Linked DNA regions of Solanum lycopersicum. The protein of the gene in region 3 interacts with the protein of the main gene of each other region in a pairwise test. Links are inferred from orthologs where the notes say so. Each region holds a gene or a part of one and is shown on either strand. Other genes may lie near its edges.

Evidence for each region.
Region 1: the proteins of SPT (region 3) and IAA16 interact in binary tests that used the Arabidopsis thaliana proteins (3 or more experiments, as listed by UniProt). The link is inferred for Solanum lycopersicum from reciprocal best matches to the Arabidopsis thaliana genes SPT and IAA16.
Region 2: the proteins of SPT (region 3) and IAA19 interact in binary tests that used the Arabidopsis thaliana proteins (3 or more experiments, as listed by UniProt). The link is inferred for Solanum lycopersicum from reciprocal best matches to the Arabidopsis thaliana genes SPT and IAA19.
Region 4: the proteins of SPT (region 3) and transcription factor HEC2-like interact in binary tests that used the Arabidopsis thaliana proteins (3 or more experiments, as listed by UniProt). The link is inferred for Solanum lycopersicum from reciprocal best matches to the Arabidopsis thaliana genes SPT and HEC2.

What each region holds. Positions count from the first base shown.
Region 1 is NC_090800.1:84,051,194-84,059,140, reverse strand, and holds IAA16 (auxin-responsive protein IAA16), read right to left. Parts: upstream 4,847-7,947; 5' UTR 4,732-4,846; coding exon 4,442-4,731; intron 3,140-4,441; coding exon 2,910-3,139; intron 2,659-2,909; coding exon 2,523-2,658; intron 2,429-2,522; coding exon 2,367-2,428; intron 2,253-2,366; coding exon 2,215-2,252; 3' UTR 1,898-2,214; downstream 1-1,897. Other genes in the region: prefoldin subunit 4, read right to left, coding at 15-131, 219-227. UniProt on the Arabidopsis thaliana protein: Aux/IAA proteins are short-lived transcriptional factors that function as repressors of early auxin response genes at low auxin concentrations.
Region 2 is NC_090802.1:65,645,051-65,652,407, reverse strand, and holds IAA19 (IAA19), read right to left. Parts: upstream 4,645-7,357; 5' UTR 4,599-4,644; coding exon 4,223-4,598; intron 4,042-4,222; coding exon 3,948-4,041; intron 3,318-3,947; coding exon 3,209-3,317; 3' UTR 3,026-3,208; downstream 1-3,025. UniProt on the Arabidopsis thaliana protein: Aux/IAA proteins are short-lived transcriptional factors that function as repressors of early auxin response genes at low auxin concentrations.
Region 3 is NC_090801.1:70,520,930-70,529,093, reverse strand, and holds SPT (transcription factor SPATULA), read right to left. Parts: upstream 4,149-8,164; 5' UTR 4,019-4,148; coding exon 3,665-4,018; intron 3,531-3,664; coding exon 3,429-3,530; intron 3,346-3,428; coding exon 3,280-3,345; intron 3,156-3,279; coding exon 3,090-3,155; intron 2,813-3,089; coding exon 2,495-2,812; intron 2,384-2,494; coding exon 2,314-2,383; intron 2,224-2,313; coding exon 2,073-2,223; intron 1,966-2,072; coding exon 1,962-1,965; 3' UTR 1,956-1,961; coding exon of another isoform or gene 1,946-1,955; 3' UTR 1,633-1,945; downstream 1-1,632. Other genes in the region: nicotinate phosphoribosyltransferase 2, read right to left, coding at 1-109. UniProt on the Arabidopsis thaliana protein: Transcription factor that plays a role in floral organogenesis. Promotes the growth of carpel margins and of pollen tract tissues derived from them.
Region 4 is NC_090803.1:65,278,453-65,285,628, reverse strand, and holds transcription factor HEC2-like, read right to left. Parts: upstream 4,007-7,176; 5' UTR 3,744-4,006; coding exon 3,647-3,743; intron 3,482-3,646; coding exon 2,835-3,481; 3' UTR 2,690-2,834; downstream 1-2,689.

The DNA.
Region 1 (7,947 bases), on a different chromosome or scaffold from region 3:
AAAAAGGCATTTACCTTGGCAGCCTTGATTTCATCATTGAGTTCGTGAAGACGATTATTCAATCTGCCAAATTTGTTAATATTCTGCTGATCCTCCCATGTTACCTCCACTTCGGACCCCGAAGTTCCAGCCTTCTCCACAGAATCAACAATGATAAGTATTTCTTAGAGGAAAGCTCCAATGGTGAAACGGTATAAGTTAGGGTTTAGTAGACTCACCTGCTGCATTTTCGATTGCACAAGAGAAGACGATGGGTTGGGCACAAGTGAGAATCTTTAAACTTAAAACTCCTTATGTTTTCCGCAAGTAAAATTTAACCCCTAAACAAAAAGAACTAGCTAGTGCCCACCTCGTCGGTCGTTTGGTTTGGTGTGATAAATAAAAATAAATAGTGATAGCTAATATATATTCTTGCCTAGTTATCATGTTCGAAAAAATTTATCCCATCATTTATATCAAAATGATAAGATGCATTATCTCAGAATAACTAATCGTAAATAACTCGCTTCCAACCAAACGATCCCTAGATTTTGTTAAGTGCTAAATAAAAGCAAACACCTATATGTGTTCTTTATATTTTAAGAGTGTATTATTAAGTGTATATGTTACAGTGTTGTGTGTTGTTTGAATAAGGGTGTCCAATTTACTAAAATTAGATAAGTATTTTCATAGTTGTTTTGGTGTATCAACTTAACGTATTATGGACAATACATTATATTGCATTGCATTGTATTTTATTGTGTTGTTATCATCAATAAACATAAAATATTAATAGAGACTAAGTTATTGTGTAATAAACAAAGGTAAGCGTTACATAAGATGTTCAAATCACCATTCTTTTTGGAGACACAGATTTTGAAGAGAGTTGGCAAAATAGTCATGCTCAAAATTTTAAGATCCAGATATAAGCAAACAACTTTAATTTAATTATTATTGTATAAAATTACTACTTCCTTGTTTACATTGTTGGATTTTATTGGAAAAAGAAAAGAAATGTGATTAGACCTAATTTACTTGCATTTGTTAATCAAAAAAGGCAAGTTGTTAATCAATAAATCCTATGGATTTACCACATTGCTCAAGCCCAATGGGTCAATGAACTTACTTAGACAGGGCCTTTTAAAAAAGTTTTTCTATTAATGGGCTTCAGAAATTCTAAGACAGTCTTATAAAAGGTAGCCACTCAGTGGTTCTATTTAAAACATAGCCTAAATTAGCTACTTTTTGATATATTTAAAATTGCTAACTTAACTTCTCTTGTAGCTCATGGTAAACGTTGTCTACTAGAAATATGGTTATCTGAAATGAAATTTCTCTTTTGTAGATGTCAAAAACTAAGTAATAATATTTTCACAAAGAAATATTAAAAAATTCAACAAGTATATATTTGTTTACTTATTTGTATAACCTAATTTTTCAAATGAAAGGGTATCAATTAAAATATCTCAATAATAATAACTCCACTGTATTGATACATTGCACCTCAAAAGCCATCATCAATTACTATCTCTCCTTCTCTCAAAGTTATCATCACAAATAATAATTAAATAGTTGTTATTGATCGAGATCTGACATATATTTCATGAATTTAATATAGATTCGAATTAATGTGAACATAGCCAATGAAAAATATTGCAACTACCCTTCACATTTTCATCTCTATATTTCTTTTAATATGTATTTTGAGCATTCATCTAAATAACAAGAAGTGACATATGAGACCTCTAAAATGTATCAAATTGAAATAATGGGGTATGGCCAATTGGCCACTCACAAAATAAATAATTGATGCCCAACAAACACTAGTGATTGAAATAATTGTGATCCCTATAAGTTTGTCCCCATTAGCAAAGCACATGGCCTTGCCTCCCAATAACTTTAAATATGTCCATGTTACTTGTCTTCAATTTATTAGATAATTTCAAGTGTCACTTACACATAGGGCCACACTTACAATATAATATAAATTCTAAAGATTCCCAAAATTGGGCTCCAACCAATATGAGGCTGTCACACACTTGACAACTATTTAGATCTATATATATATATATATATTTTTTTTTTCTTCTCATGGATAAACATTTTCTTAATTTTTTCCCCCTTATATTATATATATAAACCCTTCAAATTACAATACATTTAGAAACTCCAAGGTCAATATATAATTTGACCATGGAAAAAAAAAACAATGAACAATTAATTGGAACATCAAGTTTAACTCCTGTTCTTGCATTTCTCCACTGCTCTTGGTGCTGCATAAAGTTTAATTATATTTATGTTAGTGACATAATTTGAAAAAGAAAATTAAGGAAAAAAGTTAATATTTACGTAACGAGATAAAAAATAGAAAAAATGTATTAATTTACCTAGCCCAATAGCTTCTGATCCTTTCATTATCCGTAAACGTTTGCATGAATCAACAAACATCCTATAATAAAATTAAGAAAATAAAATTAATCATTCAATTTATATAACTAAATAAAAGATATAATATTTTATCACTATCATATTTAGAAACTTACTCCCAAGGTACATCACCAACAAGCATCCAATCACCATCTTTGTCTTCATAAGTTGGTACATAGTCTGAACCATTCAAGAGGTCTATCAATTTGCTCTCATTCATGAAATCCTTAAATCCTTGAGTCCCACAATTTCCTACACAAATTTCAAGGAATAATAATTGTCACATCAAGACAAAATGAAAAGAAAAATAATACACTTCCATAATTTTAATGGACAAAAACCTTCCCACTACCAAAGATATGAAATGCCCAATAATAATAATATTCATTTACTATATTATTTTTTAAAAACTTCACAATATAATATGACAAATAAATTAAATTTTGTTAAAACTTCACAATATAATATAATAAATAAATTAAAACGAAAGAATCAATATTTACCAATAGTAAAAGAGCTAAACATTTTGCCAAGTGCATCAGAGAGTTGTTGGTAACTTTTGTACATCTTCAAGTCCACTTTACGTAAGTATGGTGCACCGTCAACACTAACTTTCACAAAGGCTGCGCCGGTGCCGGTGCCGGAGATTTCGCCGGCGCCGGTGGTGTTTTTCTGAACAGTCATTACATTCTTCCTGAATGATCTCACTGGTGGCCAACCCACAACTTGTGCCCTAAGTTAAGCAAATAATTAAAAAATTAATTAGTCCCATGCACTTAATTAATTATTATTAAAAATCCCCATATTTATTTACTCATGATGATGATTTAGCACTGAAAATTCATAAAATAAATAATATCTTAAAAGTAAAAGTCCAAAATTCAAAAAACTTAATAAAGTAAGAATTTTTATAATAAAGTATTTAGCTAGGAGTAGCATTTATGAAATTATAATTATCTTTTTAAGCGCACACATGCGTTGTCTCACCAAAAGGTAACAAAGAAATACTCTGTAAAGTACCTCTAGATTTGTTTTTATAAAAATAATTAATTTACATTTTGAAAAAGGTTTATAGTAATAAATAAAAAGTTCCATGTGTTTTCCACTAAAAATGTTGGGTGATGAAAGTAAAAGATTCCAAATGTTTTGTTTTTTCTGCCATCATCTAGACACAACCACAGCCATATCCTAAATTCCAAAATTCTCAAAAAGATAGGTTACCACTACTGACACCTAACATTTAGATTTTTTTTTTTTCCATTTTAAATAATTTTTTTTAAAAAAGAATTATTTCTTTTAAAGCAATTATACTCTTATACGAAACAACGTTACAGTACAATATTTTTTCCTATATATATATCATAAATTTTAATACAAATATAAAATAAAATTCGAACAAAATTATAAAAATCTTTCTAACTCAAAAGTCTAGCTCCGCCTTCATTATACTATTAATTAAAAAAAAATTATTGTAGCATACCCAAAATTCTTTCTTAATTCAATATTTGATCTCTAACGTAGATTAGTAGGATATATATTCAATTAGCATGATCTACAATGCAAATTAAGTAATTTACAACAAAAAAAAAAGGAGTAATAAAATTGGCATGAGAACAAAAAATATATAAAAAGAGACAATTAAACTTAAAAAAAAAAAAAGGAAAATGAATCCTTTTATGTTGCAATATATATTGTAAGAGTTCAATAAATATATAAGAACTACATAAAAAATCAAGATTTCAATTTTATGAGTGTTGAAATAACTATTTCAACTATTAACTAATAGAACCTAAACATACTAATATTTATATATATATTCAATGCATTTCTAACTAAAATCTATTATTTTAACGAAAACTATATTAAATTGAGACAAATTTATATAGGCTTCTAGCTCCGTCTAACTATTGGTTCTAAGCATACTCAAGAAACTTAAACTTCATCACCATAAAGATATTACTACCACAACAAATATTAATTACTTGGAACCATTAATCAACATGATTAAAGAATAACACAAAAGTAATTAACTTACTTGGCTGGTGGCTTAGCAGGATCATTAGAGCTTGGCACAACAATATTATTCTTCTTCTCCTTCATGTTATCAACTTGATTAATATTAATATTATCCATTAATGTGGAATCCTTTGAATTAGAAAGGTTTAATTTCAAATCAACAGTTTCTGAAAAGACCCTTTTGCCATTGTTCTTATTACTCGATTCCAGTTCATTCCCATTAGCTCCGGGCAATCCGAGCCTCAGCTCCGTCTCCGCTTCATAATCCAATCGGATTTTGTCACACTCCGCACCCAACACGCTTGTCATACTTCTCTTGAGAATTAAAAATTTTACGTGAAAATTCTTCTGAATTACGATAAAAATACTTTCTTTTTTTTTAAAGATTTTTAATGTGAATATGAAAGTGTAAGAAGAAGGGTATAATAAGCATGAGAAAGCATGCTATATATGAAATAATATGTGAAGAGTGTGTTGGATAATTGAGGTGTTTATTAAACGGCAAGGATTTTGCCACGTGGAAGTGAATGATTAAACGGGTTGGGCTCGGGTTGTCGGATCGTTTATGTCATGAGTGACGTGTTATAGTTTTTGATTAGGGTTTTTATTTTTTTAATTTTTAAAAAATAAAATAAAATTGTTTTGTTGTTGGAATAATGGATTAAGCAAGTTGGCAACTATTTTTGAGTTTGCTTTTTGTTTGTTAGGCTCCACTTATTGTTGTTTTTTTCCTTTTTTTTTTGGTAATAATTAATTGAAAATTATGAGATAAACAGTATGATGAGACTTTAAAGGAGACAACAATGACAACTTTTTTTTTATGAGTAAACAAAAAGTAATTAATTAAAGGGTAAAATAATTAAAAAGAAAAAAAAAAGGCAAAAAGTAACAAAAAGATAAGAAAAGAGCCAAGGAACTTTTATCTTTTATAGCTAGATGTTCCCTAAATTATCTGACTTAATTCTTGTGCTCTGTTTATTATTCTCGAATCTAATGATAAATAAACAAATATATATTAACTTAAAGAATTAATTAGGTCATAACTTATGTCCACTAATTTAATGAACGATAACACATATAGTTGATAGTTGTGATGATTACGTAAAGAATTAAAGATGTTGAAAATTTGAGAGTTATCGATATATTTTATGTGTTTTCAATGAAAAAGAAGCAAAAGATGTACATTTGATTCAAAAACTCCAGTTGAAAAATGTTAAACCTTATTCAGAATGTAAAAAATAGTTTTATAAAATCGGAGTTAAAAGAATGACATGGACGATATGAATAAGCCTTTTCTTTAACAAAATAACCTTATTAACTAAATTTTTGACGGATAATATAAAAAAAAATTTAAAAATTTGATTGTATATTTGAATCTTTTCCCTTAATTAATATATATATACTATGCAAATACTTCATATTTGATTTTATCCCTTAGCTAAATTTACTTTCTTTCTCTATGTGTTATAAATTTTGAATATCTTAAACACAAAGCTAGAAATTGATTTTATAGTTTACTATCTTCAAAATATACCTTGCAATTTCAGTTCAAATATAATATATAAAAAATTAATATTTGATATATATCTTCACATTATTAACTCTATATACATGTCATAAACTCATAATCATGCATCTTAGTTTTGCTGAGACAAATAAAAAACGTTCATAAAATTGCTTAATGTAAATGTCTAAGTATGATGTGTGTGTGTATATATATATATTAGATATTGGTGCCAGGTCTAATATCTTAGTATTATTTTATTTTTATTTATGAAATATATGTTTTATTTAGATAGTTAAATAAATTTAATATGATTTTTAAGTATACAAGTGGTTAATTATTTTTAGTTTGAGCAAATTTATTGCGAAGAGGTTCATTAAAATATCTATAACAAGTATTTTTTGTCATCAATCGTGATTTTTTTTTACTCAAAATAGTTACAAGATATAACAAATATTACCGACATTCAAAATAATAAGCAGTAATTAAAGAATAAGAATTTAAAACTAAAAATCATAGCTAAACAGATTTCATAATTTCGAAAAAAATTATAAACTAATTAAATTATAGTATAAATAAAAAGTTATTTTTTAAAAAGAAATTCTAAAACACGCTGAATAGGCACGTTGACGAAGACGTGCGTGTTTCAGCGTAAAATCTTGAACTTAAACTAAAAGTCACAGCTAAAAAGGATTTCATAATTTTGAGAAAAATTACACATTAATTAAATTAAAGTAGAACAAAAGAAATAATTTATTTGATTTTTTTTCGAAACACACTGAAAGAGGAACATCGATTTGAAAAGTTATAATTATAAAGGATTTCATAATTTCGAAAAAATTATACACTAAATTAAATTATGTATAACAAAAGAAGTAAATTTTTAATTTTCAAAAACATGTTGAAGCAGACACGTCGACGAAGAACTAAAAGTCAGAGCTGAAAAAAATTCTATAATTTTGAAATAATTATACACAAATTAAATTAAAGTTAAACAAAAGTTCAATTTTTTTTCGAAATACGTTGAAACAAGCATGTGAATTATAAAAGTCTTAGCTAAAAAAGAGTTCATAAATTCAAAAAAATTATACGTTAATTAATTTTTAAAAAAATATTAATATTATTTTTTTCAAAAAGACGTTAAAGCAGGCACATCAATGTCGATGTTTCTGACCACTAAGTGTCTCTTATTATATAAGAGAATACTTGAACATTCACGTGGTTTAATTTTTTCACATCCAATTTAAGGTAAACAACAAGTCATGGGGTTTGGTGCATGCAAAAGGTGTATTTAATTAGTACTTAATTAATTTGTCTTATGATGAAATCTAAGAAAGAGCAATACTAATTGTATGTCACCAAAAAATATTTGTATATATGATACTTGGTACTACTCTCTTGTGGATGCATCTAAGGTCAACTCCATTTAGTTGAGGAAGGATTGTTGACATAATGAAACTTTTTCTTAGATTAGTTATTTATTTTCTTGATAATTAATTAGAAATCTTGATTCATGTAAAAAAATTTAATCGAAAATATTTTTTTCAAAATGAGAGCTCAAATTCAGACGATAATATACATATCAGATAGTAAATGAAAAATAAAAAAAATTTAGTGACAAAGATATTAGGTATTAAAGATATTACTCCTCCAAAGTTTTAACTACTATTCCAAAGTCAACATACATCTTCTCAAATTGATACTCTAAATCACACTTTTTTTTAATTCTAATTTTATTTTAAAATTTTCACACCCCTACCACCCCTTGTGGCTAAAACATCCAAAAACAAACATATCTGGCAAATTAGGATTTTAAAATTTATTTTTCTAAAGAAAGTCTTAAGACAAAGGAGAAAACATGTGCTAAGCTTTATTGAAGCATAGAGAATAAATAGAGGGCCCAAAAAAAGAAAAAAAACAAGAAATGAAAAGGCTCAATTGCATGTGCGCCAGCCTCACCTTTACCCAACTCCATCTCTTATGCCATCTTTCTTTCAAACAACCTTAGCTAGCTATCCTGG
Region 2 (7,357 bases), on a different chromosome or scaffold from region 3:
CTTTTGAAACGTACATGAATAAACCTACCTTTAAGTACTTTTGTAGTGAAGTTCATTTTGGTCATCACTCATGCATATAGATAAATATAGGATGTGGATGGTTGAGCTACATCCAATTATCTTGATAAATAGATGACTTTTGAATTTTCAACTAGGAGAGACTATACTCTTTCCTAACTAAAGACCATGTGTTATGTATGCACACTGATGATGGATTCATAATTTTCATTAAGAGAGTTTTTAAAATATGAAATGATATTATAGAAATTGAAATTTTGTAAGATCTCTACCAGACGTGTTTAATTTGAGTTGAGACTCTACAAGGTGTGTTCAATATTAGAAATAGTTCATGCCTGTATTAATGGATATTATATTCTCTTGAAAAAACTAATATTTTGCAAATTCATGGAATATTTATAAATTCAAATCATCTTAATTCGAGAAATATGTTACTACCGGCCCTCGAATTGTGAAGATAAGTCCAAATCATCTAATTCGGAAAAATACACCACTAATGACCCTCGAATCATGGATAAATCTTAAGAGAGAAGGATCAAGGGATCAACATATTTCACTACAAGAAAATGGTGAATTACATGGAGATTTTCCTAGAAATTAGTATGAAAATATGCTGGAAAACAAGTTTCTTGAAATTTTCATATAACCTCAAGAAAAATCGCCATGTAATTTACACTTATTTTGTTGTGTTTGTACTCAAAGTTTTAATAATAAAATTATGTTTCTTTATATTTTATTTGTGATTGTAATCTATTTTTTTGTCACTTTAAAAATTATTTCAAACAAATACACACAAATAAGCTACATCTTCAATAGTAATTTTCATATGAACTTCTAAGCCCTACTTAGCTTTGCCTCTAATGCTACATTAGTTGAGTCACAAACTCACAATTAAGGACGAGTTCAATTTAATTATCTTTTTCGTTTTAAGAGGGTATTGCTCAAATAGGACAATACTATTCAAGTATTTTTGTTAAAAATTATTTTTTAATTATTTTTGGTATTTTAATAAATTGAAGAGATAATAACACAACTACACTCTCAATTATTTTTAATTCTCTCTCATCGTAATTTTTAAAAGATAATATAATTAAAAAAATTTAAATGATATAACAAATCAATAAATACAATATTCGAAAAAGTGTAATGCATAAATTATTATAACTAATAATAAGAATAAACTAAAAACTAACTATGAATTATTCATTAAATTTTATAAAATAGACAAATATTATTAAAAATTTAAAATAATATAATAAACAATTATTATTAGACCAGATTAAACGCAGGAAGTATTTTTATGGACCAATGAAGTTGGTGAAGGAGAATATAATTGAAAAACGTAAAAGAAAATTAAAGGTAAAGTATTGAAATGATTTGATGCTGAAAAAGTAAACATGAAAACAATTGATGTATACGTTTTGCGTAGATATAAAATGTGTAATAAGTGAATTGTCTGGTGGTCATTTGTCAATTAATAAATAATAATATCTGAGAAGGTATATGTACTCTCAAAATCCGACATATTCCACGCTTCTCATTTATTTGAACATATTATAGATCGAATCTCATGGTAAAAAAAAATTATTGTATTTACTTACCAACTATCTGTAATAACTTCAGAGAGATAAATTTCACGAAGGGTGTTTAAGTGTTAAAAGTGAACATACTTTTAAAAAAGTAAAAAGAGAAGTTGTTAACAGTAAAATTTAAATACATGGGTATTTTAAGTACGCGACTCAATACACTATGCTGCATTATATTGTTATTTTAAGGATATTCAAAATAAAATATTTAGCCACTTTATTTATTACTTTACTTATATATACAATATAATTTTTGAAGAAGGGCGTCCAACAGAATGGCTATGCAACTGGAGCCACATATTTTTTAGGAGGAAAAATTAATTATATCTAGATAAAAACATTAAGTATAATCCTTAAATGCTATATTATTTTACTTTTTTATATATATATGTTACTATATTTACGTGTAGATTTTTAACACATAAAAATGTAATGAATTTAATAATAATGTGATATTGGATTATTTAAAAGATGTTATTCCCGAACATCAACGAAAACAATGCCTTTTGTCGGACGTAGCTCTACATGCTGATTATGGGCCAATATTTCAGTTTAGTTAGTTGATATATTAATATAAAAATAAATTATGTATCGGTTGAAGATTCTGTATCTACCAAATTAATACACTCTTTGGACTTTATAAAATATAGTGTTCCTATTTATTTTTGGAGCTCAATTAATTCAGATTCATATAGGTAAAATATCTTTTATTATATAATTTATATAAAAATGATTTCAGTTTCATAACTCAAATTTGAAATGTTTCTCTAAAAATAAATGAATATCTACCTTTTACGTGATTCATAGGTGATCTCTATGGTTAATTCTTATGAAGTTTTTTTTAGAATAATTACATATTCGCAACACATGATTTGATTGATAATTAATTTTTTTTTTTTGGATATTAATTTCGGTGGAAGTAAGAATTAGTCCGTGTGCATGTATTTCCACACTGAATACTGTGATATGTAGTGAAACAAAAGTATATTCATATGGTATATCACTGCTTTATTATCCCCCCAATAAAAATAAAAATTAAGGTTCATCAGTATTTAATGATCCAAGAAAAAAATACATTGGACTTATAAGTGTGTTGGAGTGATACAGGAATCTTTCCATTTTTACATAAGTATGCATGAATATGTATAGCTAATTAGTGTATGCTAATTGTCTACTCGATATTATATTGTTCACCTTAATCGAGTTATAGATATTTGATAAATCCAACTTCAACATGGTGAACAGATAAGGAAAAAACTAGCTAGAAAAAATAAATTTTTTTAAAAAAGATAAGGAAAATAGAAATACAAATAATGTAAAAAAAGAACTTTTTAGTAACGTGGACAATTGATATGAAATTGAAACAAAGGGAAAGTTAGATGGTAGCCACAATTTCAGCACAACATGTTGGTTACACATATAGCCTTATTATACATACGAAAATTGTCATTTAAGAGCAAATAAGGTACTGATTACTACAATAATTAAGCTAATTAAGAGGAAATCAAATCAGAAATTGATTTTAAGTCTAGGGTGTCTTATCACACCTAAGATTACAATTACAATTATATATTAATGTAAAAATATAGCTTGAATCATCCACTCTATTTCTCTTGAGACATTCCCTTGAGAAAGTCTCTTGCTCCAAGCCCTATCACTTTTGCCTCTGATCTCTTCATGATCCTTAGCCTTTTGCATGATTCACTGAACATTCTGCTAAATCAAATTCCAATTAATACGACTTCTTTTGATTTTTTCTAACACTACAAAATGTTTGATGAGTAACCGATCAAGGTTGTTATAGTGTGGTAGGTAGTAATTTATTCTTAACCAAGAGGTTTCAGATTTTAGTTGTCTTGGGTATAAAGCTGCCTTTGTTAGGAAGTTTTAACCTTCCTGGCACGAATCCCTATTTAATCGGGTTTCAATGTTCTAATTTATCGGCATAATGATGTTTTGATCTATGCCTTAAAAAGGACAAAATTGATCCATCAGTGAATATATGCTAGTTTAAATCACCTAAATTTGACTAAATTGGTCAATTTATGTACTATAAGCTAAATTTTACACCCCTTTTAACACATTAATTAGTTTAGTTTTACAATTAATTAAAGAAGATTCAATTAGGGATAAGGTGCCCGAGGGGCAGATCGCGTTAAAAAATTACTAATATATAAAATTTGAACTTTTTTTAACATAAGATTAGAGGTCGACTGAATTTAAAATTCAGTCGACAATTTCAAAATTCAAATCTCAAGTATTATATTAAATATGTTCCTAAATTAATAAAAATTCTGAATCTGTCGTCTCGAATAGAACATAAAGAGAAAGTGAAATACTTACATCCATGGAACATCGCCGACAAGCATCCAATCTCCATCTTTGTCTTCATAGATTGGAACGAACTCTGACTTATCTGCATCCTCCAATGCTTCTCCTGTTGACACATTTAAATACAAATTTAACATATATAACACTAGCAATTAAATTGCTTATATTTATGAAAAAGATGCTCGATTTATGTTTATTAGTATAGTACAGTAACCGTACATTTCAATAATAATAATTTCACTTTGCCTAAATAAATGCATGTTAATATAGAAAACTGAAATACTAACCAATTCCATAGCAATCAAAGAGTTTTTCAAGAGCCATAACAAGTTGATCATAACCCTTATGAGTACTCAAATCAACTTTCCTCAAAAACGGTGCTCCATCCATGCTAACTTTGACGTACATTTTATTATTGGATTCAGCTTCACGTCCGTTAAAACTGTTCTTTTTCCGGTAAGCACACACAGGAGGCCAACCAACAACTTCGTTCTTGTATTGACACTTGTAATTATTAGCCTCAACGTTGTTGTTGTTGTTGCTGCTGCTGCTGTTTCGATCACTAGTAGTAATTTCCGAATAAACCCTTTTCTTTTCATTTTTCTCCAATATTCCTCCTGGAAGTCCCAATCTTAGCTCAGTAATTTCCAATTCTGTTGCCATTTCGTATTATGTTTTGAAGACTGGAAAATTAATATATTGTTGTTTTGATGGAAAAAATGAGTGTGTGTGTTTATGAGTATATATAGGAAATAAATAATTGAGAAGACAATGGCAGGTAAACTAAACTTAATGGTCGGTCACATGAGATACAAAGGTAGGGAAAATATATATGTTAGGTATGTAATTTAAAACATTAATAATTTGTGGAGATTTACTTGTGACCGTTTGATATGGTTAACAAAAGACATGCCATGTGATGAAGTGTTCCCAATATGTTTGTAGACACATTAATATACGCGTGCAAATAAAGGTACATATATACATGTAATTATTTCGAGTTGGGATAAAATTTTTGCAAGTACGGATAAGGTATGTGTATATATTAATCTCTTCAGATTTTATATACGGGTTTATATTGGGTAACTTATGGATTGGCCGAATCAAGTTTGGTTTAAAAGCTATTTACGTGATTGACAATAGAATCTTGTTTAATAAGTGGAACGCAATAACTGTCCGCTATCAGGTTGGACAGTCAGGGTAGGAGAAGGGCAATGACTCATTCTTATAACCAGCGTTTTTAAGAACAAGAAGTCGGGCGGAAGGGGGAAAAGCCCTACGTTCCTGGTTCTCTTTATAGTTGAATCCAAGTCTCTTGCCACCTAAAACTCTGGCAAGAAAGCACTGCTTTACCTTTGATCCTATGTACCTTCTCTCTCATTAATTTTAAGAAATTTATTCGTACAAATTATAAATTTTGAAGTCAATAACTTGAAAAAAAACTAGAATTTCATATTCATAAGTACTTTAAATTATGATTTCGTCTCTAGCTAAACAAATCTTTTAATTGGACAAGAGCCTATTTGGGACTAAAATCAAACAGGAGGGCATAATTATTCTATTTCACTAGTTAAGGGGCAAATGTGACCTTTTGTCAAAACTAATACAGTTAAATTTAAGTTAAATTAAGTGTTATGTTTATTTCAAAAATTTTACATATATAGTCATGTATTTGAATTAGGATTGACAATTTCGAAACCAATGAATACACATATTTCTCTTGAAAAAAAATGATAGTTTACGAAAAAGAATACCATAATTTATTTATTTTTTTGTCTCCGTTATAATTTTCTAATACACGGACAATTAATTTTTTGAGGAACATATCCAATTATAATAGGGTATATGGATATTTGATTCTTGCAGAGAAGGCAAATTTCTGCGAGATAATATTATTATTTACACATATAATAAGTAGCATGTTATTAAAGGAATATAATTTCTCCAATTATAGACAATCAGTTTATACTACATTATAACAAGAAGATACCACGATGAGAATATTTTGCAATATTGGGACATAGAAATCTTACTTTGAATCCCTTAGATTAGAAATTAATACATAAATATAACTATTGTCTAGTCAATTATTTACAAATTATAGTTGGTCTTCTATCAAATATATAAATTCAACATTTTAATTAAGTAGACATTCTCTTGCATGTGCACGTATCTTATAATAATTGATACGACCGATTATTATTCAACTACAATATCATGTAATATTAACTAACAAATTTTACTTAATTCACATTGTTTGCAACAAATTTTAAACATATAGATAAATCACACAAATAAAATCAAAAGAAACATAATTTTATTAATCTAGATAGATTGCGGGTACAATTGTGTTAATCCCTTGATTCTACTCTCTTAAGATTTATTCATGATTCGAGGACCATTAGTAACATATTTCTCGAACTATGATGATTTAAATTATGACCTCTTTTTATGAACAAACTATCAATTTGTGGAGTATTCGAAATCTTGATCTCTTTATGAAATTTTCGAGATGTCTTCTAAGGGAATTTAGTACACTTTATATAGGAATAAACTAGGGTTTAGAGTTGAGTAGCCTCTAAGAATAGCAACAACGTAATGGAGTCAGTCACTCAATATAGATTGATCCGAAATCTGATTCAAATCCAATATAGTACCTATGGGTACATAAGAAATGTATTGAATCGATTCTTTTTAATGAATAGATCCGATCGCAACTTCGAATATGGAATTCAAAGGGATCAAATAGGAAAGGATACTCTGAATCATAGAACTATAATGAAATATACGATCAACCAATATTTATCGAATTTGAAAAAGAGTCAGAAGAAATGGTTCGAGCCTCTTATTTTGATTTCTCGAACCGAGAGATCCATGAATCGGGATCTTGAGTTGAACACAATTTATAGAGTCCTAACTCGAATTAAACGCATCTCACAAAATTTTAATGTCTACACACAATCATTTTTGACAATTACCAATATACTCTGATTCATCTATAAATCATTTTTATCGATAAGGAAGAAATTATTATGTATGGATCGATGAACAAAACAATAAGACTTAGTTGCATTGTCCTTAGGATAATATATGTTACTCTCCAACCGAGCATATGTTTCCTTAGAATTAGACAAGGAAATGAAACTACAAAGATGACACCCCACACGTGATAAAGAGGTTTGTCCCCAATTTATTACTACTTTAGACAAACGTACCCACTAATCTATCTTATGTGCCCTTGTTACACTCATAAATAAAACTATTTCCCCACTCAAATGAAACATAAAATAGCAAAAACACAGCCTTAACTAGACTCATATTGGGTAATATACAGCTAGCTACCTACCTCTCTCTTTCCAATTTCATCTCACACTTTATTTTGAGTAATATATAGTCTATTATTATATTGTCATATGAAATTA
Region 3 (8,164 bases):
AGGCCATAGTAAACTGATAGAGATCTGTTAAAATAGGCGTAACCATAGGATTGGTCGGTCCATCAATATTGGCACTCTCAGGCCCGCCATTAGGTATAGTTTCAGCCATAAATCCTAGGGTTAGCAGCAATTCGGTTTTACAGAACAGAGAGAATATGTTGAGACCGTTACAAACGAAGTTGTTAAGAATATATAGAGCGCCAAGGATTAGATCGGACTTAATAAAGCTTCATTCATTGCTTCTTTTTAACTTTAGAGAATACTGAAAAGGCGCACTCCACTTAACGCCTGGCGGCTTGGATTGATGTTTGGGTTACTTTGGACTCCAAAGTATTCAACACTTTTGTCAAAGAATTGGACTGTCTTGTCTTGTCTAGTCTAGTCCACACAACAACTTGGTCCTCCCTCCACTTTATTTTTCTCCACAATTTAACTTTGAATTTAGGTGATCAATTAATTTAAAATTAATTATGAAAATTCTCTCTTTTATTTTACTTTGTTAGTATTTGAAATGTACCTACTTGAAAAAAATATAATATTATTGAAAGAAAATCTATATATATATATATTTGTAGTATTTTAATTAATTTGAAATTAAAATGATTCATTATTATTTTTATTATAAAGATTATAATTTAGTCATACAAATCTGCTACACCATATATAGAAATTTCATTGTTACTTTTCTTGTCCCCTAATATCATAAATTTCTTTTGCATAATGTAGACCAATAAATGTCCTATTTTTTTTTTCATTCATCACAAAAAAGGAAATAGGGGGACTTGTGGGCATTATTCTTCCAATTACAAAGTTGGAATACATCAAGGCCACTACTTAAGTTTCTTTTTGTCTATTCCCTTGGCTAGTGTCAACATTAAGCCAACAAGGCCTTTCCATGCGTCGAAAAATAATAGGGAAATGAAATGAGACAAAATTAAAATTTAAATTCGTATGGTTAATAGTAATCGATGGAAAGGAAGTCAAATGGTTTAACGCATTTGCTACTTTTATTATTACTTGCTTAGCTAGTGTTTGTACATGATATGTTTTCTATAAATAATTTTTTTTTTTGGTAGAGTTCTATTAAGAGAGTTTAAATTAAGTATAAATTGTCTCGAGACCTTCCCAATTGGCACGTTCAAAGTATATTTCCTATTCTTTGTGATTCAAACTAAGTGATTAGACTAGAATTTTTCTTCCTCTTTCAAGTCAATCGACAACAGTTTTCTTCCAATCGCAGTCCATTCTTTACGGAATAAGAATAGAATTTTGGTTCTTCAACTTTTTTTAATTAACACGTACTTGGAATTTTTCTGAAGTTTTGAGTGAGTATCAAACAAAACTTGAAAATATCCGCAATTTATGGCCAAAGGTTATCTAGATAATCTGGCGATGTTTGGCATTTACTTAGGTTTCAGTGTTCATTATTTACACGCCAATTAAAAAAGACAAACAACGTGAAATTATTTAAGGTGAATACATCCGCATATTCATCGAGTGAAAAATTTTCAAACAATTGAACAAGATAGCTTGAATAATGGTTTTATCAGGTAAACATTTCTCCTACATGGCATAAATGAAATTATTGAATGAAAGAAACGTTAGCAACTGTGAAGTAAATTATCATAGCAATGATCCAATTAATTTAAGGTACCTGTTAGAATCCATATAATGCTAATCTTTAGTGTCTCTGCTAGCAACCATACCATCTTCAGATTAGTTGGACACATATGAGATAATAGTAATCACGAAACATATCCTATGCCTAGTAGTAATTTTCGTATTTCATAACAAGATAGAAACTAGTCCAATCTTTTCATTTATATTCCATTCATTCATTACAGTGGCTAGTGAGCCCAAAAGTTAACAACATTAAACGTCCTAAGCAGCAAAATGCATGTCTCATTACTTCAACAAAATCCAGCAAGGCGATGCAGGCCAAAATTCAGAAGTTGCTGCATTCACCTTAAGATAATGTCAACATAAGTACTTCCAAAGTGACTAACAATAGAACAAGGACTAAAAAAAATCATTGCTATGTAAGAGCACGGGTATAATGTGAGTTCACTTACCTATACAGTTGTTGGGAAAGAAGTTGGTCACAATCCAGATTGGTTTCATTCACAGCACCAAACTGATATCGAAGCAAGCAGGCCTCCCGAGTGCTTCTCTTCAGGTTAGATGCATCCGTATCTAGGGGAACTGAGAATGCCAGATTTGATCCTATAATACAATGAAATATAAAATGGTAAAGAGACCTGGATACAAGGCAAAAGTTGTCAACTAGGCAAGGATATCAAGCAAATAATCTACCAGTTGATGCAGTTTTGGTCGTTAGCTCATTCATACCATATAAAGGTAAGTCATCCTCCCTCCAAATTTCCTTCGCAAAACAGAATGTGAATGTCAAATGGTTAAATAAATTGATTCCTTAATCTGCAATTCTGCATCCTCATAAAAAATGGCATTCCAATAGGTTTTGTATCCAACATACCTTGCTGGTAGATCTTGAGAGCTGAAAGGGATCAAGGTGAATATTCATCGATGACTCAAGCTCAAACGCACTGTCTGACCGGTTTATATTTGACATAGTTATCGGTGGTGTTACCTTAGTTTCTGTACAATTTTCAGTTGGGTTGAAAATAGCATTTAACGAGGCGTCTTGGTTAACTTGTAGATTCCCAGCCACTTTGGCATTTGTGAATGCATTCCCCTCGCACAAACCTACTTTTTGATGGGAGAGTTGATTTTGTTGTAGCATTCGTGGCAGGCCAAGAGGATACATGTTTAACCCGTTTCTCATTGTCAACATCTACAGATCAAAGTACATTCTTATGCTATAAATCATATAACTTGATCGAATCAACTAGTGTTAAATGAACAGATAACCAGCTAGAACCAATCTAGGAAATATACTGAATTGAGTCAAATAACACTACATGTTCTTTGCAACTATCTGAACTTTAAATTTCACTAAAGTTGGGCCAATCAACACAATATTACATTATATTATCCTCTAAAAAAATATCTTTATCTCCCCATCATACCAAACAAATTACATGCAGCAAATTTAAACAGAAGCAGCAAACCTGTACTTGGAGCTGAAGCTGCTTAAGATACTCAATGGCTTCATCAAGCATTGAAGCCTTGTCAGTCTGTCCAGAAATCCATCAGAAAATAATAAAATCAAAAATCTTTTAAGCTTTATATTGCTAAAAGTTTATGTTATTTACTTATTTCAAGACTCGATTCAAAATTGCTAGACATGCAACTCCTCACCTTATTTGAATTTGGAATAAGTTTTTGCAATGCTTTCATCTTCTCATTAATCCTGCTTCTTCTCCTCTGTAAATCATATTCAAGATTTAAACCCGTGGAATCATCGATTCAGACAATAATGAACTTAATTAACAAAAAAATAAACAAACCTTTTCAGACAAATTGTGCACTTCAGCTGCTCTGCTTCTCTTGGAAGTGTTACGAGATGGCGGTTGAACTGAAGCTTCCGCCCCCAAATCCTCTGTACCATCCTACATATTAAAAAAATCATCACAAAATATATATATATATATATACCAGGATTAAGTAAAAAAGTCAAATTCGGAAATAAAAACTTAAATACACTAATTAATCAAAACGAATTAAGTAGAAAATGTAGAAATACCTCACTTTCACATTCATACTCATCCGGATCGTAATCTATGGTCCCAACAGATGAGGAAGAAACAGTAGTTGCACCATTACAAACCCCATAGGAAGACGAGAAAATGCCGCAAGCTGATGAATTCATCATGGATGACAAATTACCCTGTTGATTATTATTAGGCATAAGATGAGGTAATGATGAGGAATATTGCATTTCATTACTCTTCAGGGCCATAAAATTAGATGAAGATGAAGACGAAGACGAAGAAGGAAGTAGAATATGACGAAGAAACACAGAAATATCATCTGGTTCAGGATCAGGATCAGTCAAAGAAAAATTAGCATTGTGATAATAAACATTGTTGTTGGCCATTATAGTCCAGCAAAATCAAGTTCAGTGTTGAGCAGATCAAGTTAATTTTGTCTACGTTCACACTGTTTTACATGTAGGAGTAGGTGACATTTTTTGGGTATATGCTCCGAACGAGTGTGTATTTATTAGCCAACCATACCATATAGAGCAGAGTGGGCGGATTCGCATTAAAGTGAATAAACCAATTGAATTAACAGAGTAGGGGTAAACTAGCAAGTTGATTAGACTTTGACTGGTCTACTTTTGGTTCTGAGAACTGATGAATTAGGGAAGTTGGTAAACTGCTAAAACCAAATCAAAGAAATCGACAGGGTTAATAGTACAATTGTTACTTCCGTTGTATCAATTTAAAATCCATAGGTCTTTCACAAATTTTTAATTAAAATCATAAAATTCAAAAATATTTTTATCGAATTAAATTAAGTTCAATTTGATGGAGTGGTTTTATATAGTGATAGTGTCAGGTGAAGCCAACTTTCTGGCACACGTGAAGCACAATTGTAGGCATGCTCTTCAACTAGCTCAGTTCCAGAGAGAGTATATACGTTACACTTTAATCGAACACTGTTCCATTTCAGTATCCATTTGTGCTCTCCTTTTTACTTTTCTTTATGTTTTCTAAAGTATTTTTGAAAACACGATTGCTGCTTACCCCACTTCTGGTCCGAAATAACTACTGTACCAACTTATGATTTTAGAATATACCAAAGTTATTTAGTCTAATTTAATTTTAAAGTTATTTAAGTTGACTCTCCATAGATAAAAAGTGGCACGATAAGACCAGAGTGTATGTATAAGGTTTTAGATATATTTTTTTTAAAAAATTTAATATAACATTAATCTTTAGATCTATCGTAAAGTTTATCAATTATTGAAGCAACTATGATAAATTTTAAAATTGGGACATAAGAAATGTAATATTCAATAAAGAAAAAAGTAGAACTCCTTTTGAAGTTCAGAGGAAAAGATTGAATGTTCATTGACATTTTGTTTTGACACATCACTTTTTAAAACTAATGAGTTTTATAATAAAATCAATAAGTTGGGCAACATTTAGAAAATTTATAGACAACAATCTCGTTAGAATAAAGCCTTATTCAAGATAATGCTTCCTATTAAAAAAAATATATTTAAAACTTCTGATTAAGGAAGAAAAGTACAATCGTACTCCTAAGACAGATTAATAACCATAGTTTTCAGCAAGGCCAAACAACTCCATTCCCTTGTTTCAATTGATTGATAGGCTTTATAGTCGCAGGCTATGTGTGTAGGGAGTTAATTTGATAAAGAAAACACGATGTCCTGCATTTTCTTACTTACCAATTCAATGTAATGTGAAAAATAGCAGCAGAAAATCATTTGATTCCTCAATTATAATGACTAGTCGCTTTCCAAAACAGAGTTAGCTAATCAAATACCTAAGTGTAGTACTTTCTCTTCATTTTTTAATCTTTTGAAAACTTTATTGATACAACTATGTTACTCCAAATGGTCAAATGAATATCATTTGTCCAAAAATTATATGTACATAATATATTTTTATCATAAATTATTTTTAGCATGTGAGTAAATAGTTTTAATCATTAACGTATTTGCATATTTTTGTATATATATATATATATATATAGATAAATAGATAGATAATGCTATATAACCAGAATTTGACTAGAAATTTCAAAAGTGTAAAATGTTGTTATTTACTGTAAAATAATCTGATACTTTTTTATTTTTAAATTTATGGTATTAGAGTTAAAAAGAATGAAAATATTCAAAAAGATAAAAATATCATAGTAAAAAATATGTTATTTTACTAATTTGACCAAATAATCAAATTTTCTAGCCAAAAGATTTCTCTCTCTCTCTCTCTATATATATATTCTCTATACTTGTTGATATTGATGTTACTCTCTCTGTCTCAATTTATATGAAACTTTTCATTTTTTTGAAGAGAAACAATTTCGATTTGATCGAAAATTTGCACATTAAATTTTTAATTTTTGTAACTTATGTTACTACCTCCGTCCCATTTTATATGTCTCCTTTCGAATTTCAAGAGTTAAACAAGTTTATTTTTTACCGTAAATTTTCCAAATATTTTATAAACATTTTGAGTAATCAATTCCGGTGATTCGTAGTACTTTCTACGTAATTTACAAATACATAAATTTCATTTTTTTAAAAAATCAAAAATTTCATACACAAATTTTCTATCAAAGTTAAGTTGTTTGACTCTCAAAACAGAAAAGGTATTATATGAATTGGAACAGATGGAGTACTCTATTTATCTCAATTGTTGTGACATTTTTCCTTTTTTTCGAGAATCAAACAACTTAAATTTGAATGAAAATTTATATATAAATTTTTTTAATTTTTTTTAAAAATAAAATTTATATATTTATAAATTACATAAAAAAATATAAGTCATAATATTAAAAGTTAAATTTTTTAAAGATAAGATAAAATTATTTTAATCTAATAAATATCGTGACAAAGAAAATAATTATTAATACTAGTCCTATGACAAAAGCTTTTGTATTTTCCAGTTTAGAACCCAAGATTCGTAAATAGTAGTAGCTGTCTCCTCACATATATACCAACAATGTCTTTTCTTGCAAAATAGAACACGTGGCTACACACAATTGGACAAGAAGATCACGTATCCAAAAGTAGATATCTATTGTACATGCAGGACCACTGCAAGTATGAAAAGTAGGCATCATCAACCGTCACACATCTGATTTCCGCACACGCCAAGCAAATAGCCTTTCGTGATTTCCCGAGGCTATCTATATTCCGCCCTCCCTCGTTTCATATTAATTGATCATCAACTTGGTCCTTTTTACATAACACTCTCGGCCGCCCAAGAGGACTGACTATCTTTCTCTTCGCACTAAGTAAATATTTGGCCATGTATGATGTATTTTTTTTGGATTTTATGATTTAATTGAGTAAAATTTTGATACTAAATTTGTTATATTTTTTAAATATTTTAAATTCTTAATTATTGTAATTTATAATATTTTTTACATAGTGTATAAATATATATATTTCATCCAAAAAAATTGAAGATTTCATGTGCAAATTCTCGATCAAACTTAAATTGTTTGATTCTCAAAAAACGAAAAGTATTACATAAATTGAAATAGAGGGAATATAATATATTAGTGTTTGAATGTGTAATTTTATGCTGATTTCGTCTCATTAGATGTTGATTCCATATTCCTCAAAAACCATGATATAGAAATTTCATATTATGATTTGAGATTTTTTTTAATACGAAAATGTATTCACAAGTTTATATTTTGTTAAAACACACCCCATATTTATATCTGTTAACCATTTATTTTATATGTAAATAAATTTTATAGTGACATAATTACTTTTTAAAATTTATTATTCTAATTGATATAGTATTTATTATTTTCACCAATATGTAGTCCTTTTAACTCACATCAACTGATTGTTGAGTAATACTTTAACACTAGCATGCTGCAATTTATCTTCAATTTTTTTTATTGAATTAAGTTTGATAAATTAAAGTTAGATAGAACAATTACTTAAGTGGAAACCAAATAGCAATACAATATTTTTATGTGATTTTGTAATTATTTGTTCATGTGATAAGATTGAATAATCAATTGGAGTTATTTTAATAGTTATACAACTTATGAAATTCCTATGTTTATGAGAAAATATACAACACCAAAATTTCATATCACATGTCCAAACAAAACTTTAGTTTCATCTCATAATTTCATATTATGATACCATATCGCATGACCAAACGAGCTATAAAAATAATGTTTCATATTATAATTTTTCTTGTATTATTTTTGTTCATTTTTAAAGTGTTAACATTTATTTATAATTTTTATTAAAAATAATTTTTTTATTTATGATTTTTGAGTATACGTAAAAAATAATCAACTAATATACTATCAAGATAATATCGAACATATCCTAATGTTTTGTGATAAAAACTAAAAGATGTGTCTGGTAGAGCTGAAAATACTAATTAGTCAAAATATTTGAAATATTTACTAGAACAAGAAAATTGAAGAAATAATATTCCAAAGTTATTGTGTCCTTCTCCTTCCAATCTCCCTTCTTCATTGCATTTCACTCTATAGTACTTCTCTGAGTAGC
Region 4 (7,176 bases), on a different chromosome or scaffold from region 3:
CGAAAATAAGTGAATTGTCTTTTCAGAAATCTAACGAAACAAATTAGGAAAAACACGAAAAGGGTATGAGGTGGAAAGCCACGTAGGATGGATATGAGGTGGAATGCCACGTAGGAAGATGAATTGACCAAATAAATTCTTTTCACGTGGCAAAGAGGGATTAAAAAAAAAGACGTCATCATGAGTAGCTAATTAAAAATGTAAATAAATAATAATAGTAATTAAAAATGTAAATAAATAAATAATAATAATAATAGTAATAATAATGGTAAATAAAAGAGCACCGCATATTGTCAGTGTTTTCACGTGGTTTTCTCATGCATTTTGCCTTTCCTCATCCTTTTGTCCCTTCCTTTTATTTCACTTATTATTATTATTCAATTTCATCATTCTAATTAATTGATTCACACATAATTAAATACTATACTCTATAATATACCCACCATCCTATAAAATAATAATAATGAGCTTAATCGTCTAAATTTCGATTATTATATATTATCCGTTAAGTACATGTTAGATATAAATATATATTTCTCCCTTCGTGTGTTATTAGCAGATTATGTATATTCTATAGTATTGAATATTATTAAACCGTACTATCATCTCATTTAAATTGCTAAAAGTCTAATTGTCTTATCTAATACTACTATCTGATGATGAAAATATCACCATACATTAAATCAATATTTTAATTAGGATGCAGAGATACGTTGAAGTGGCGATGATAAAATAAGTTGTTAGTAATATGTTAAATTATGTGATTATCAGTTGAAATCTAAATGTTTAATTAGTTGTTTGAAGGTTATTTTTATTATTTATTTAGGTCTTATCCTAATATAATGGAGAATTTTTGTCAATTATTTGTGCTCGTTGCATCATGAAATTGGCCATGTTTGAAGCATTACTTTAACCGCAAGGAGGTCAATGAAAAGCTATATATACTCAGAAGATCGTGATAATACGAGTAGCGTTTGATGAAAAGGAAGTTCTTGGGCCTCATTATAAGGCTTGAACGATTCTTCTTTCTTTATATATGAGTTCTACGTCACTATATCATGTATTCATGTGTAGAGAAAATTAACAATATGGTATTTACTAGTTAGTTTTTAACTTAAAAGTGATATTTGAGTTAGACTACAAGAGAGTTAGATATTGAACCTTGCAATTTCTATTGTAAATGATAAAACATGCTACTATATATTAGCATTCATTATCACAGAAGTGTTTTTCTATAAAAAATTAAATTATTATTCATTAATTAGTGAATTATATTTCTTTATCAATGAAATATTCAGGATATGTTATCTTTCAATTTTTTTGGCAGAGGCACGCGGGGTTGAAAAATATCAAGTTGACTTTTATCATATAGTAAATTTTACAGCTTTGAGTTTGCCATACTATATACATTGAAATTTGCAAGAAGAGAAAACTACAAAATTGTGAATCAAGTCTATAACGTCATGTTCTTTACATATTACGTGAATAAATCTTTTTTTTTTCACAAACAGTGTGAAAATTGTGTTATACAGAGAATTTCAGTAGCTCTATTTAAACTTTTACTTTATTAAAAATGATTACAAAGTGGATAATCAAACGATCCTCGCATAGTTTACTTGTGAAAAAAATGGCCAATAGTTTCAATTCTGTTGCTTTAGCTTTGTATTCGTCAAGAAAGTAAACATATGATGGTCCAAGGCAAATAATAGTCCCAACAATTGTTGCATTTTCAAAAATATGGGAACCAAACGACTCCTACAATGTTAAATATGGGAACCAAACGACCCCTACAATATGTTCAAAATGGGAACCAAAAGACCCCTAATAAAACTGGGGGTATTTTCAAACAGGGCCCTACAAGTTGTCTTTCCAAGAGGCATGACTTGCTATTTGACCTTGAGTGTATATGTACAACCAAGTTCTAAATGGTCCATTTTCTCATCTTTAATTGCACATAGACCTACGTCGAACGGTTCAGCGTATAAAGTATTTTGTATTTATATAGCAATATAATTATGATGTAAATAGACTATTTTAATATAAATCATTAGTAATTACTTTTTCCGATTCAAGTTCATAAGTTATAGATTACACGGCCATAATTTTATCATTGCTTCAAGAATAAATAGACAAGAAATAACAAAGAAAACAAAATCTTATAACATATCTAGTTCTCAAGATTTTTCGTTGAGATGTTGCAAAGATAATTGGCACATGGCTATTGTCATTGTCAACCCACAAAGATAATTTCAGTTTAATTCTTTATATACATCTTAATAAGAGGGAGTAAGAGCGTCAAAAATATAATTAAGTAAATAAAAATATGTTTTTGTAACTGTAGAAATTTTAAATGAGAATCACTTACAATTTAAAATGAGTAAATAAATATTTGGATTCAAGTCTAACTCCCCCTCATTATCAATTTTTAAAAAACTTTTTGGATTCCGAAAGAAAAATAATTAAGGAAACATGTATTCTCCTCTAAAATTACTTGTTTAGAGCTTGATTAATCTGAATTATTGTCATACAATCCTGTTTTAACAGTAAAATCCCTTTCTTTAAAAAATGACTATATTTTAGACACTCAAATACAAAAAATATCTAATAATGAGTGAGAGATACTTACCAGCTCACCATAACCGTTCATGATAGATGGTTAGATAATAATTATACATAGAAAAAGAGTGTGTACATGAAACATAAAATTTTATTAACAGATCAATAGGGGTCTCTATATACCATGGTTATAATATATAGTATAAATTATTCTTCTACCCATGCATGGTTTCTAATTTACAACCCCACAAATTTCTTCAATTTATACTACTGGTTAATTAAACATCTGCATATTGTTGAATATTTTGATGATGATAATTTTTTGTACTGACAGGCAAATTATAGTTCCCACTCAAAGACATTGGTACAGGGAATCCTAATCCTGCAGCTGCAGCAGTAAGAGCAGTACCATTAGCTGGCCTAGTTGCACCTGCCCTTTCCAGTGATTGCACCTGATTTTTCAAAAATTTCACATAATGTATTGCTTCATCTAACATTGATGCAGTATCCATTTTTGTTCCTCCTGGTACTAATCTCTGTAATATTCTTATCCTTTCACTTATCCTTTCTCTCCTGTGTCGCGCCGCAACGCTCTGTGGATCCGTTGATATCTTAACGTTCCTTCTCTTTGGTGGTTTCACTGATTCAGGATCGATGTTAATCGGCTGCATTGCTGCAATTCTGAATATCATCTCCCTCATTGCTGCCATATTGCTTCGATTCATCGAAGTAAATCCACCCGAATTAGGTATAAAATTAGGTGAATTTTGATGAATTGGAGGTGAGTTTGTGAATGAAATAGTAGAAGGCATGTTGAGAAAATTAGGTGAATTTTGATCCATTTGTTGGAAATTGTAGCTGTTGTTGCTGCTGTTGCAACTTCCTTGTGGACTAAACTCCATCATTGGTAATTCAGAACAATTACCTGTCGTGACATAATATAATTAATCAGTTATCAAAATATTGTAGATGTAATTTTTTATATCAGGTGAAATAACAATTATATTTTTGACAAGCCTCAACAAGTGTTTGTTTAATATTTATTATGTATATTTTAGATGAGATAGTCACACAATTCAACGTTACTGACCAGTAGAAAACTCAGGAAATTTCTCCAATTGCATCATGAGCATCATTTCCATTTGATCTTCAGAAGTTGCTGATGATTTAAGCATATCAATATCCATGGCTAGTACTTTTTTTTTTTTTTTTGCAAGTCCAAATCACTCTCTTTTAAAAAAAGTGAGTAATAATTATGGGTTATTGAAGCAGAGGAATGAGAAAGAAGAAAGAGTGAAGTGAGAGTTTTATCAGAATATTGCAGTGAAAATGGTAGTACTACTATTGGTAGTATGTTTTTTGATATAATAGCTAATAGAGTTGGGGGAGAAGTGAAGAAATTGAAAGGGGAATAAAATAGTGTGATATTGGAAACAGATCATCTAGGCTCAAGTGGGAATTTAAGGCTATATATAACAAATTGTTTTTTATTTTATTATATACATATATTTGATATTTTCTTTTATATATAATATATATTTCTGCTATCGCAGATAAATAATTCAGTAAGAATATAAATATAATACCATTACCAACTTTTATTATGTCATCAAAGTTGGTAAACTTTTTTCCTTTCCTTTTCAATGTTTTTATTTATATAAATATATACAAAAAAATAATATTCTTATGCAGGTTTACAGCTTAGCTCTGTTTTCAACAAATTCATAATTTTGTTTACAATCATTACTCATTTTTCTTTGTTTACCATTGTGCGCTAGCGCATCGTTTAAGGTTCCAAACTTTTTATTTATAATTATTTTATATTCAGAATTTATATATATATATATATATATATATATATATATATATATATATATATTAGTTTATTAGTATACATTGCCCAATATAATATTTCATTTAAGAAGTTAATTATTATTAACCAAGTATTTCATTAACAATAAGCAAGCCGGTACTACTACCCTATCTACATGTTGCATATATGTTATAATTTTAGCTTCAATTTTATAGTTATTATTAAAATTTATTTTTTTATGATATTACATCCATTAACTTTGACCTTTTGAAACATTCTTATATATCATTCTTAGTAATTTATAAACTCAAAACTTTACTTCAGATTCTATTCGACTTTATTCATATGACTCGAACTCTAAATTTCTCATCATATTTTCTCGATAATGTTCGTGTTGCTTGTTCTTCTATGTTACTAGTAATATATTAGCTTGAAAATAATTAACCTTTCTAGGTGCATATTTAATTTGTTTGACTAATTTAAAAGATATTATTATTTTTTATTGTATTTATATTGTGAGAAGGTAAAGATGAGTGGGCTAGGTAGGTAGGCCCACCATTTGGAGGGTTTAGATCTACCAACTGTAGCAGTGATATCATAAATGTTTTTGATGCAGGTGCATGAAACTATATACTATACTGATATTATTATTTAAATAAAAGTAAATAAATGTATCACTCTAACTTTGGCTTAAATTTTCACTTTGTTATAAAGAAGACCTTAGCTAATACCCCACATACACATGACACAAGTCAGAGGTCTCACCCCCCGCCCCCCCCCCCCCCCCCAATCCTCAATGAAATAAGTCAACTCACCGCCGGCTAGTGAAGTCGGCGACAAACTTTATTTGTTATCATGTTAAATTATGTTTTAGGTTTAATTCATACGAGTCATATCTCAAAAACTAGCTCAAAGGAAGGAGGATTGTCTAAATATTATAAAGACTTCACTCGTCTCATTAACCATCGATATGTTTGTTATTTTTTAACAGTTATAATATTATGTATAAGTTATGTTATGTGTATATCGAAATTAAAATTGAAATTCTGAATCCGTCTTTGATATATGACGTGAAAATAAGTTTTGGAAGAGGTAGAGAGGTGGTTGTATTATTACTATTGGGGTTATTACTGGTATTATGATAAGACTGCAACTTAAGTTTTTGAGTCTTTGTTAGGGTGGGGGTACGGGGGTTGGAACGCATTTCGAGGTGGATCAGCTTGTGCAGTGGAGTACTGTTTCATGTGCTGTTTTTATGCTAACGAACTTACCTGTGGTGAACTGCTTCTTCAATTAATTTCTTCTGCCATTAACATTTAACACCTCTACTAATAAATTACCCACGGTTAATTCCACTTTTCTACCTCACAAACTTAAATATTTACTCTTTCAAGTTAATAACTACCTACACCATAATAACATTTTATGTTCATAATATAGTCGTTTCAAGAGTTTTATTTTGAAAAGAGTATTATTTCAATAAATTTTATGTTTTTTATATTAGTTTCTAACAAGTAGGCAACATAAATAGATCATGGTATAATTTTCTTTGTCCTCTAATTTATTGTTATCAAGATTCGTAATTGTTCATTCTCATGTAAGCTTGTTATTTTGATCGCAATATGTCAATTTATTAATGGTCCAAGTGTATGTTCTAGAAATGTCTAAAAGTTTAGTCGTATATATCAACATGTCAAATTGTTTAGTCATACTCTCTCTGTCTAATAATAATTGTTCAATATACTAAAAAATAGTTATCTAACAATACTTTTCTAATTTAGAAAGTTAAAAAATATTTTAAAGCATTAAATTTAATAAAATTAAAGGATAATACAGTAATACCCGTATTATTTATTATTTCTTAAAAAATATATCAAATCAATAGAAGACAATTATTATTGAAGATTACTAAATAATTCACTCCACAGTTAATAAATGTAAGTTAAATTCTCAATATGAAATAATCCCCCCAAAAAAAAATTAAGAAAAAAGAACGCAGCTAGAGATTTTAAGATAGTGAGGTTGATGGCGACTTTAACGGGCAGATACAAATTATATGTGTTTTTAAAAAATAATTCTAAGGAAAAGACCTTATCCCAAACGACAAGTGCTAATACAGTAAAGGACATGTCACTTTCATATTTAATCAGAAATCACATATTCAAACTCGAGATGCTAAAAATAATGTATTAATAACATTTCTTAGATTATGAATTTAATCGGTCCTGAAAAATATAAAGAACATGCACCTATTTAGTTATCACTCAACCAACAAATTACATGTATATACTCTACTGAATTAAATACTCAAAAGCATTTAAAATGGATTTATCTTTATACCAAATAAAATTAAATAGGAACTTCTTATGCATGTTATACACTGCATGGATATTAATTCAACGCAACAAATTAATGGAAAGCAGCTATATATGACTAATTTAATTAACCCTAGATTCCCGTTGAATATTTTGTACGTCTTACGAAATTATTGTTTTAAAATTTGCATTCAGCATCTTCAGGTTGACAATTATAATCGTTTTCATTTATACGTAATTTTTTATGTTGTGCAATTATATTTTTCAAAACATAGTGTTCAAGAAAAAGTTGTAAAAATATCATCGAAAGGAAATATTTGTTCTTTATATATTAGTTGATTAATTTAGATTTTCATCGCATAGAGTCAGGTGAGGAGAAAGGCTCTTTGTCAATAGAGATCTTTCATTTATAAGGTCAGAATTCAAAATGTTTATTTAAGCGTATAAAAATTACTTATATAAAAAAAAAAAAAAAAGAAGAAGAATTAACCT